Linked DNA regions of Danio rerio. The protein of the gene in region 1 interacts with the protein of each later gene in a biochemical or structural test. Links are inferred from orthologs where the notes say so. Each region holds a gene or a part of one and is shown on either strand. Other genes may lie near its edges.

Region 1 (3,656 bases):
GCAAGGTAAGAGAAACGCAGCTGGTCAGCCGTCTGGATCAGACCCATGCGGTATCGTCGCATTTCCAGCAAAACCTCCTGAATGCGTACAGATGATGGATCTTTCCTCTGAGACATCTGACAAAACACAATAACAGTTGTTTAGAGAATATTAGAGAAGTACAAACTTTCCACTAAGCTCTAAACAAAGGAAAGAGCAAATCCGCCTACACTGGACTGACTGTCTAATGAATTACATACGAGATGTAAAGACGTGCAGCAAGAGGCTCAGGATACTACTGTTAAACATACGAAAAATGATCAAGCATTTTTTTCATTCCATTTTTATTTATTTATTGAAATTTGTAAACTGAATACTTAAAGGCTGCAACATTTATTTATTTTAAAGAGCCTTATGACTCACACAGTTCATTTCAAAAACAGAATCATTTATAAACAAAACATCAGTGTTGCTAGGAGATGCACAAAAGCTCTGCTCCCACTTTGTTAGAAAGTGTTTTCATTGTCATAATCAAAAACAGACAGACTGCCTTACAATGTACCCCAATAGGTACTTATAGTTTGTTGAACTGTAGTAAATTATATATCACATTTCCGAATTATAATATTCAGGGAGAAAAGCATTTTAGTTGAGTAATTTTACTACATCACATCACTTCTAGCGAGGTCTAATGCAGGGATATAATTTGCTTAATTAAATTGTAGACTCAATGGTATGTTTTTATTTTATTTCTGTAAATGACATTTTCAGTGTGCACATTATTAAAACTATTACAAATTTAGCGTAAACAATAAATCTCATGCACACCTGTGTAGAAAAACCATAATCACTTCTGTGTAAATTATATTTTTGTTTTTGTTTGTTTTATTTTTTTAATTTTAATTACAAAAAATAGCATAGAGTGCTGTGGTACTAATAAAAATGAACAGAGAGGAAAAAAGGCAGTGTAGAACACAAAGGTATTCGGATATTCGGCCACCGAGCGCATTTAGGATGTTCTCACACTAGGCTATCCAAACCATGCCCAGGCACATTTGACAAGTGGGAGTGCTCCAAGCCAGGCTAAGGCACGGTTCAGTTGGCCGGCCCGAGCCCGGTTGGAAGAGGTGAGTCAGAGCGCAGTTCAGTTGGGCTTTGGTGCGGTCCGTTAGTAGTTTGAGTGCAAAGCGCACCCGAGCACAAAACTGAAGACCCGACATCACTTTTAAGGGACTGTTTTACATGGATTTAGCAATCATTCTAACTGTTCAGTTAATGTGAACTGTCACAGTTTATTAAAGATAAAAAAAACCCGCTGCATGACAGCTGCCACCTTCAGCAGACCTCCTAATACCTGCAGCACAATGACTTTCATGAACATTGAGTGTCAAATGTGTTCAGCAAATAATCCGACTGTGTGTCACTGCATATCAAAAGACTTAAAATAATACTAAATAATATAACTAAACCAATCTCTGTTGTACCAAGCGATAGCACTTCCCTTCTGTTAAACTGAACAGTTAAATCATCGATGATGTAAGGCTCGGAAGGCAAAAAATGCAAGTGTCTAGTGTGAGTACACCCTTTAACAGAAACTTGCAGTGTATGATTTAAGGGTTAATTAATTGATTGGTCTACTGCTTTAGAACAGACACTGTTAAGTGGCTGCTGCATGTAAAAGCAGATTTTTTTCTTCATTTGACCTGCCACTGTCTAAAAAATTTGGCTCATCATGTGAGCAGTGCTTCAAAAGATTGAGTTGCAATCGTAACAGTTATGCACCTCCTTCAAAGGAAATATACATTGAAAAACAATGGAAAAGTAGCTCACTGTAATGGAAAAACACATTCTGGTGACTGAGCGCTATCAATGAGATGATTCTTAAAAGACATTTTTTAAATTGAACCACTATTCTATGTAATACACTGATTTATAAAAATGCCAATAGCCTAGTGGTTTGTGCTTCAACACATGGCACTCTGGTGCTCACGGTGACTTGAGTTAGATTCCCATCTCAAGGTCCTAAGACAATCCTTCCCCTCTCACTGCTCCCCACACTTTTTATAAAATAAAGGTGAAAACTATGCGAGTTGAAGTCGTAATGGACATGCATCTCTATCAAGTTTAATTTCATTAGGGAAAAAAAAAACATTGGAAGAGTACAGAATTGAAATGGAAAAAATTCCGTTATCTCACCAATAGAAGGCAGGTGTCTACAAGGCAGAATGTCCCAGAGCGGCCGATGCCAGCGCTGCAGTGGACCACCACAGGACCAAGCTCTGGACTCAGACAGCCCGACTCACGCACTTTAAACAGGAAGTTAAGAAAAGAAGCAGGAGACTCCGGAACGCCAAAATCTGGCCATGTGGTGTAGTGGAAATGAAGAATCTCCCGGGTTTCCTGTGTCTTTAAACACACACACACACACACACACGACATAGCATTAATCAAGATGAGTGTGTTTGTCAGAATCGAGCCTCTGGCAACTGTAATATCCTGAGAGTATTGAGTCAAGGCAACAACCTGACCAGCATTAAAGAAGCTCTGAAAAACTAAAATGTCAGCTAAATGGAGAGAAGAGGGATTGCAGAGAGTCTCGGCATAGAATGATCGGTGACAGAGATTGACAGATGAGCGAAAGCAGGACTGAATGAGATCAGGGGAAGATCAAGAGCCTCACCGACAGATTTTCCAGCTCCAGCTGTCGTACTGTGTAGTACGATTTCACGTCCTCTGAGATCAGAGTAAGTCTGAAGTTTGTGTCCTCAAAAACAGCCTCCCGCTCCTCTCGCTGAGGCCAATACTGAGCACACTTCACCTGAACACAGACATACATACACTTCTTCATTACAACAACACAACATTAGCCTCACACACAAACACATCAATCCCAAATGCAAGCTAAAAGTGATCGAGTGGGAATTTGTAAATTAATGTTACAGATTAGGGAATGTTATTTTTTTTTAGCCCACATTATTGATCTTATTCTTCACGTACAAGTGGGAGCAGCCATTGGTATCTAGAGCAAGTAGTTTTCTGCAGTTTATTATTCCCAGTCATTTCTCCTACATTCAATTTCAATTTCAATTCAAAGAACTTTATTTGTCCCCTAGGGGCAATTCAAGACATATGGAGCAGCACCAAAAGAAAACAATATCATTAACACACAAAACACAACGTACAAATAGATAAATGACAATAACAACATTAAATACTGACAAATATATGAATTAAAAATTTCTAAAATGCATCCTGAAATGTGTTACAGTTTGAGAGTTACGTTTTGGAGTTTAAAAGCAGAATGGCTTTAGGAACAAAAGTGACTCTCCTTTTTTGAGTTCTACACACATTGCAACGAAACCGTCTTACAGAGGGGGCAGCTCAAATGCTGAATGGAGAATATGTGAGAGGTCCTTAATAATCCTTCTTGCTAACCTAAGAGTCTGTTGATCACATATGCCTGAAAGAGACAGGCAATCCAACAGGCAATCCAATAATCCTAGAACACACTGTAACAACACTTTGTAGCCGATTTCTATTCTGTAAATTAATAGAATGAAATAAACAAGAAATGGAAAATGTGATATTCTCTATGAAAGAATAATACAACAAAATGTCTTTACAGACTCCAAAGGAACGGAGTTTCCTAAGGGGATACTGCCTCTGTTGGCACCCCT
Region 2 (4,138 bases), about 29 Mb from region 1:
ACAGTAACAGCATTTCAGTTTTCAGCCACAGTTTGATGTCATGAATTCAACATTCTGGATCCAGTTCTTTGCAAAAAGGCAAATTTGACAGCCCAAATAGAAAGACAACAAACGGCATGGGCTACAAGGACAAGCAAAGATGCACTGATTCACACTGAGTTCTGCATTTTGTTGTCTATTGATTAAAAGAGCTCATATACTTGTTTGCAAGTTGTGTTGTTTGAAAGTAAAATTAGCTTTTGTTGCATATTTTACAGTTTTTTTATGATTGCTTACACACTAAAGTTTAACTTTTGCCACAACAACCAAAACCGTACACTCAAGGAGCAAAGCACAAGGCTAGATCAGCTTAGATTGCAAATCACTAAACACGCTTGTTTGCATTTGACACAGAAATTTTTCATGATGAAATTTCCTTGCAATTTCAAAGCAAAGACTGATGCCAATTGGTTAAGCACAGCCATCAGATGTGCAGGCACACTGGTGCAAAACTGTAGACACACCAATCAGCTGGAACCACAATAAAAGGCAATGGCTATAAACTATTAGTCTTCATTAATTACGTTTACAGTAGCATAGCTATAAACTATTAGTCTACAATAAATATGTTTACAGTAGCATAGCTATAAACTATTAGTCTTCATTAATTACGTTTACAGTAGCATAGCTATAAACTATTAGTCTACAATAAATATGTTTACAGTAGCATAGCTATAAACTATTAGTCTTCAATAAATACGTTTACAGTAGCATAACTATAAACTATTAGTCTTCATTAATTACGTTTACAGCAGCATAGCTATAAACTATTAGTCTACAATAAATACGTTTACAGTAGCATAGCTATAAACTATCAGTCTTTAATAAATACGTTTACAGTAGCATAGCTATAAACTATCAGTCTTTAATAAATACGTTTACAGTAGCATAGCTATAAACTATCAGTCTTTAATAAATACGTTTACAGTAGCATAGCTATAAACTATCAGTCTTTAATACGTTTACAGTAGCATAGCTATAAACTATTAGTCTTTAATAAATACGTTTACAGTAGCATAGCTATGAACTATTAGTCTTCAATAAATACGTTTACAGTAGCATAGCTATAAACTATTAGTCTACAATAAATACGCTTACAGTAGCATAGCTATAAACTATTAGTCTTTAATAAATATGTTTACAGTAGCATAGCTATAAACTATCAGTCTTTAATAAATACGTTTACAGTAGCATAACTATAAACTATAAGTCTACAATAAATACGTTTACAGTAGCATAGCTATAAACTATTAGTCTTCAATAAATACGTTTACAGTAGCATAGCTATAAACTATCAGTCTTCAATAAATACGTTTACAGTAGCATAGCTATAAACTATTACTATTCATTAAATGCGTTTACAGTAGCAAAGCTATAAACTATTAGTCTTGATTAATCATTTACAGTGTAGCGATATAATGAATATAGGGATTCAGTACTGTATATAAAATCAACAAAGGCATAACAGTAAAAAGCAAAGCTTGTGCATCCTAGAGGATAATATTTAGATCATTTTAGAGTTGATTTGTTTTTTTTATATCAAATGGTGTCAGCGTTTAATTTATTTAAGTGTTTACAGTGTATCCAAATTACTGAAAATATGGATCCAGTGCTGTATATAAAATCAACAAAGGCATAACAATAAAGAACAAAGCTTGTGTATCATAGGGAATAATATTTAGATAATTTTAGAGTTGATTTGTGTTTTTAATCTCAAATTGTGTCAGTGTTTAATTCATTTAAGTGTTTACAGTGTATCCGAATAACTGAAAATATGGATTCAGTACTGTATATAAAATCAACAAAGGCATAACAATAAAGAACAAAGCTTGTGCATCATAGGGAATAATATTTAGACAATTTTAGAGTTGATTTGTATATTTTTATCTCAAATGGTGTCAGTGTTTAATTCATTTAAGTGTTTACAGTGTATCCGAATTACTGAAAATATGGATTCAGTACTGTATATAAAATCAACAAAGGCATAACTGTGAAAAACAAAACTTTTACCATTTTTACATTAAAAGTTATTTTAAAAATATAATAAAATAAATAAAGTGCTAATTGCAAAAAACAGAGTCTTGTGCAATAAGCAGGGTGTTTTTCTGAACATTTTGCTACTGGTTTTATTGTATAATTTCGTTGAATTGTTTAATTGGTCTTTTTTATCGATTAAGCCTTGTGCAACATAAAGGACACATAATTATACCTATCTGAGATATTTTTGGCTCAAACTATAGCAGGGGCAAATAATTTAATTGGTTTGAAATCGAATTTCTAATGAATGTCAAACTTTACCGCGGTTAAAAAACCGGAGTAAATCCAATGTATCGCTTTTGTTTCAGTGTATATGACCCCCAGCATGACTTACATGTCAGTGACGTTCTCCATGTCCGCCTCGGACTCCAGCTTGGGGAAAGCCATAATACTGCGCTCCGCGTCCACGCAGGAGATCCGCAAACCCGTGCACGTGCAGAGCTCCGGACAAGCGGTCGCGGGCCTCCAGAGCGCGAGCAGCATCACCGCCCAACCGAACCCGCAGCCCGTCATGCCGAAGCTCATCCCCGGGTCCTCACCTCCAGATTTAACGACCCCCGAAAAAAACCCGGAGTCTGGAGACGCGCAGAGCCGGAGCAGAAAAAGCAACAGCGAGTGACCGTATATTCCTACAGAACGAATGCCCGAGATGCTGCGCTGAATGACGCTCGGATGCGGACTGAAGACGCGCTCTGGAGACGCGCTGGATGATGCGCGCGTCTGAGGGGAGGAGACCAGCAGGACACATCAATCAATCCTTCACTCACTCACACGCGTTATTGACCGCCTGACAACATCCTTACACTGATCAAGGCTTTCTTTATAGTGTATCAGTGCTGTGAGGATGCTTTTTTGAGAATCTCGTGGTTACTAATTAGCACTGATCATGTGGTTTAGGTAGAGTTGTTGTTGTGTTTGCTGCTTCGTGAGGTGAACGGTTATTTGAATGCATGTATATGGAGGAATGAGTTGCGCTCGTTGTTTTTCTGTGTGTGTTTGTGTGGAACTGACTCACTCGTCGTCGGAGAATAACGTTCAGGTTCAAAGGCAGAAAAATTGACTACAGCTAAAATGACGCGAAATGGTTCCCTTTGGGATGTTTTTATTTATTTATTTATTTATTTATTTATTTATTTATTTATTAAACTAATTAATAAATTTAATAAATTTTGTTTTATGAAGATGATGATAGCTTATGATAACCTAATTTTAATTATTATTTATTTATACTCTGTTCTGAAATTTATAATTCATTCATTCATTTTCTTTTTGGCTTAGTCCCTTTATTAATCTGGGGTTGCCACAGCGGAATGAACTGGTAACTTATCAAGCATATGTTTTATGCAGCCCTTCCAGCTGCAACCCATCTCTGGAAACCATCCATTTACACTCATTCACACTCTTACACTACGTACAATTTTAGCCTACCCAATTTACCTGTACCGCATGTCTTTGGACAGTGGGGGAAACCGCACCCGGAGGAAACCCTTGTGAATGCGGAGAGAACATGCAAACTCCACACAGAAATGCCAACTGACCCAGCCGAGGCTCGAACCAGCGACCTTCTTGCTGTGAGGCGACAGCACTACCTACTGTGTCATTGCGTCGCCAAAAATTATAATAATTATTATTATTATTACTTATCATTATAATAATTATTATATGTTAATAGTATTATTACTTATTAATATTATCATCATTATTATTACTTATATATATAAGTATTAAACTAATAATAATAGTATTAATAATGTTAATATTATTATCTAAAAGTGCTATAACCTAATATTATTAATATTATTATTATTTATATGTATTACATATTATTTTTATTATTATTATCATCATTGATCTTAATATTATTATTACTTCTAAGTGTTATTTTTTATTATCATTATTATTACTTATCTGTATTAGTACTTATTATTATTATTATTAATGTTAATATTATTGTTACCTATAAGTGTTAGAACTTAATATTATTAATATTATTATTATTTATGTTTTATTACTTATTATTATTAATAATAATATGATTATTATCATTGTACTTATTAATGTT

The links. The genes of interacting proteins can lie anywhere in the genome.
Region 2: the proteins of ptpn1 (region 1) and ntrk2a form a complex in vitro, tested with the Homo sapiens proteins (2 studies listed by BioGRID, with this or other methods). The link is inferred for Danio rerio from reciprocal best matches to the Homo sapiens genes PTPN1 and NTRK2.

Annotation. Positions count from the first base shown.
Region 1 is NC_133183.1:30,336,855-30,340,510, reverse strand, and holds part of ptpn1 (tyrosine-protein phosphatase non-receptor type 1), read right to left. Parts: intron 2,798-3,656; coding exon 2,660-2,797; intron 2,386-2,659; coding exon 2,176-2,385; intron 117-2,175; coding exon 1-116. UniProt on the Homo sapiens protein: Tyrosine-protein phosphatase which acts as a regulator of endoplasmic reticulum unfolded protein response. Mediates dephosphorylation of EIF2AK3/PERK; inactivating the protein kinase activity of EIF2AK3/PERK.
Region 2 is NC_133183.1:59,551,802-59,555,939, reverse strand, and holds the start of ntrk2a (BDNF/NT-3 growth factors receptor precursor), read right to left. Parts: upstream 2,872-4,138; 5' UTR 2,602-2,871; coding exon 2,411-2,601; intron 1-2,410. UniProt on the Homo sapiens protein: Receptor tyrosine kinase involved in the development and the maturation of the central and the peripheral nervous systems through regulation of neuron survival, proliferation, migration, differentiation, and synapse formation and plasticity.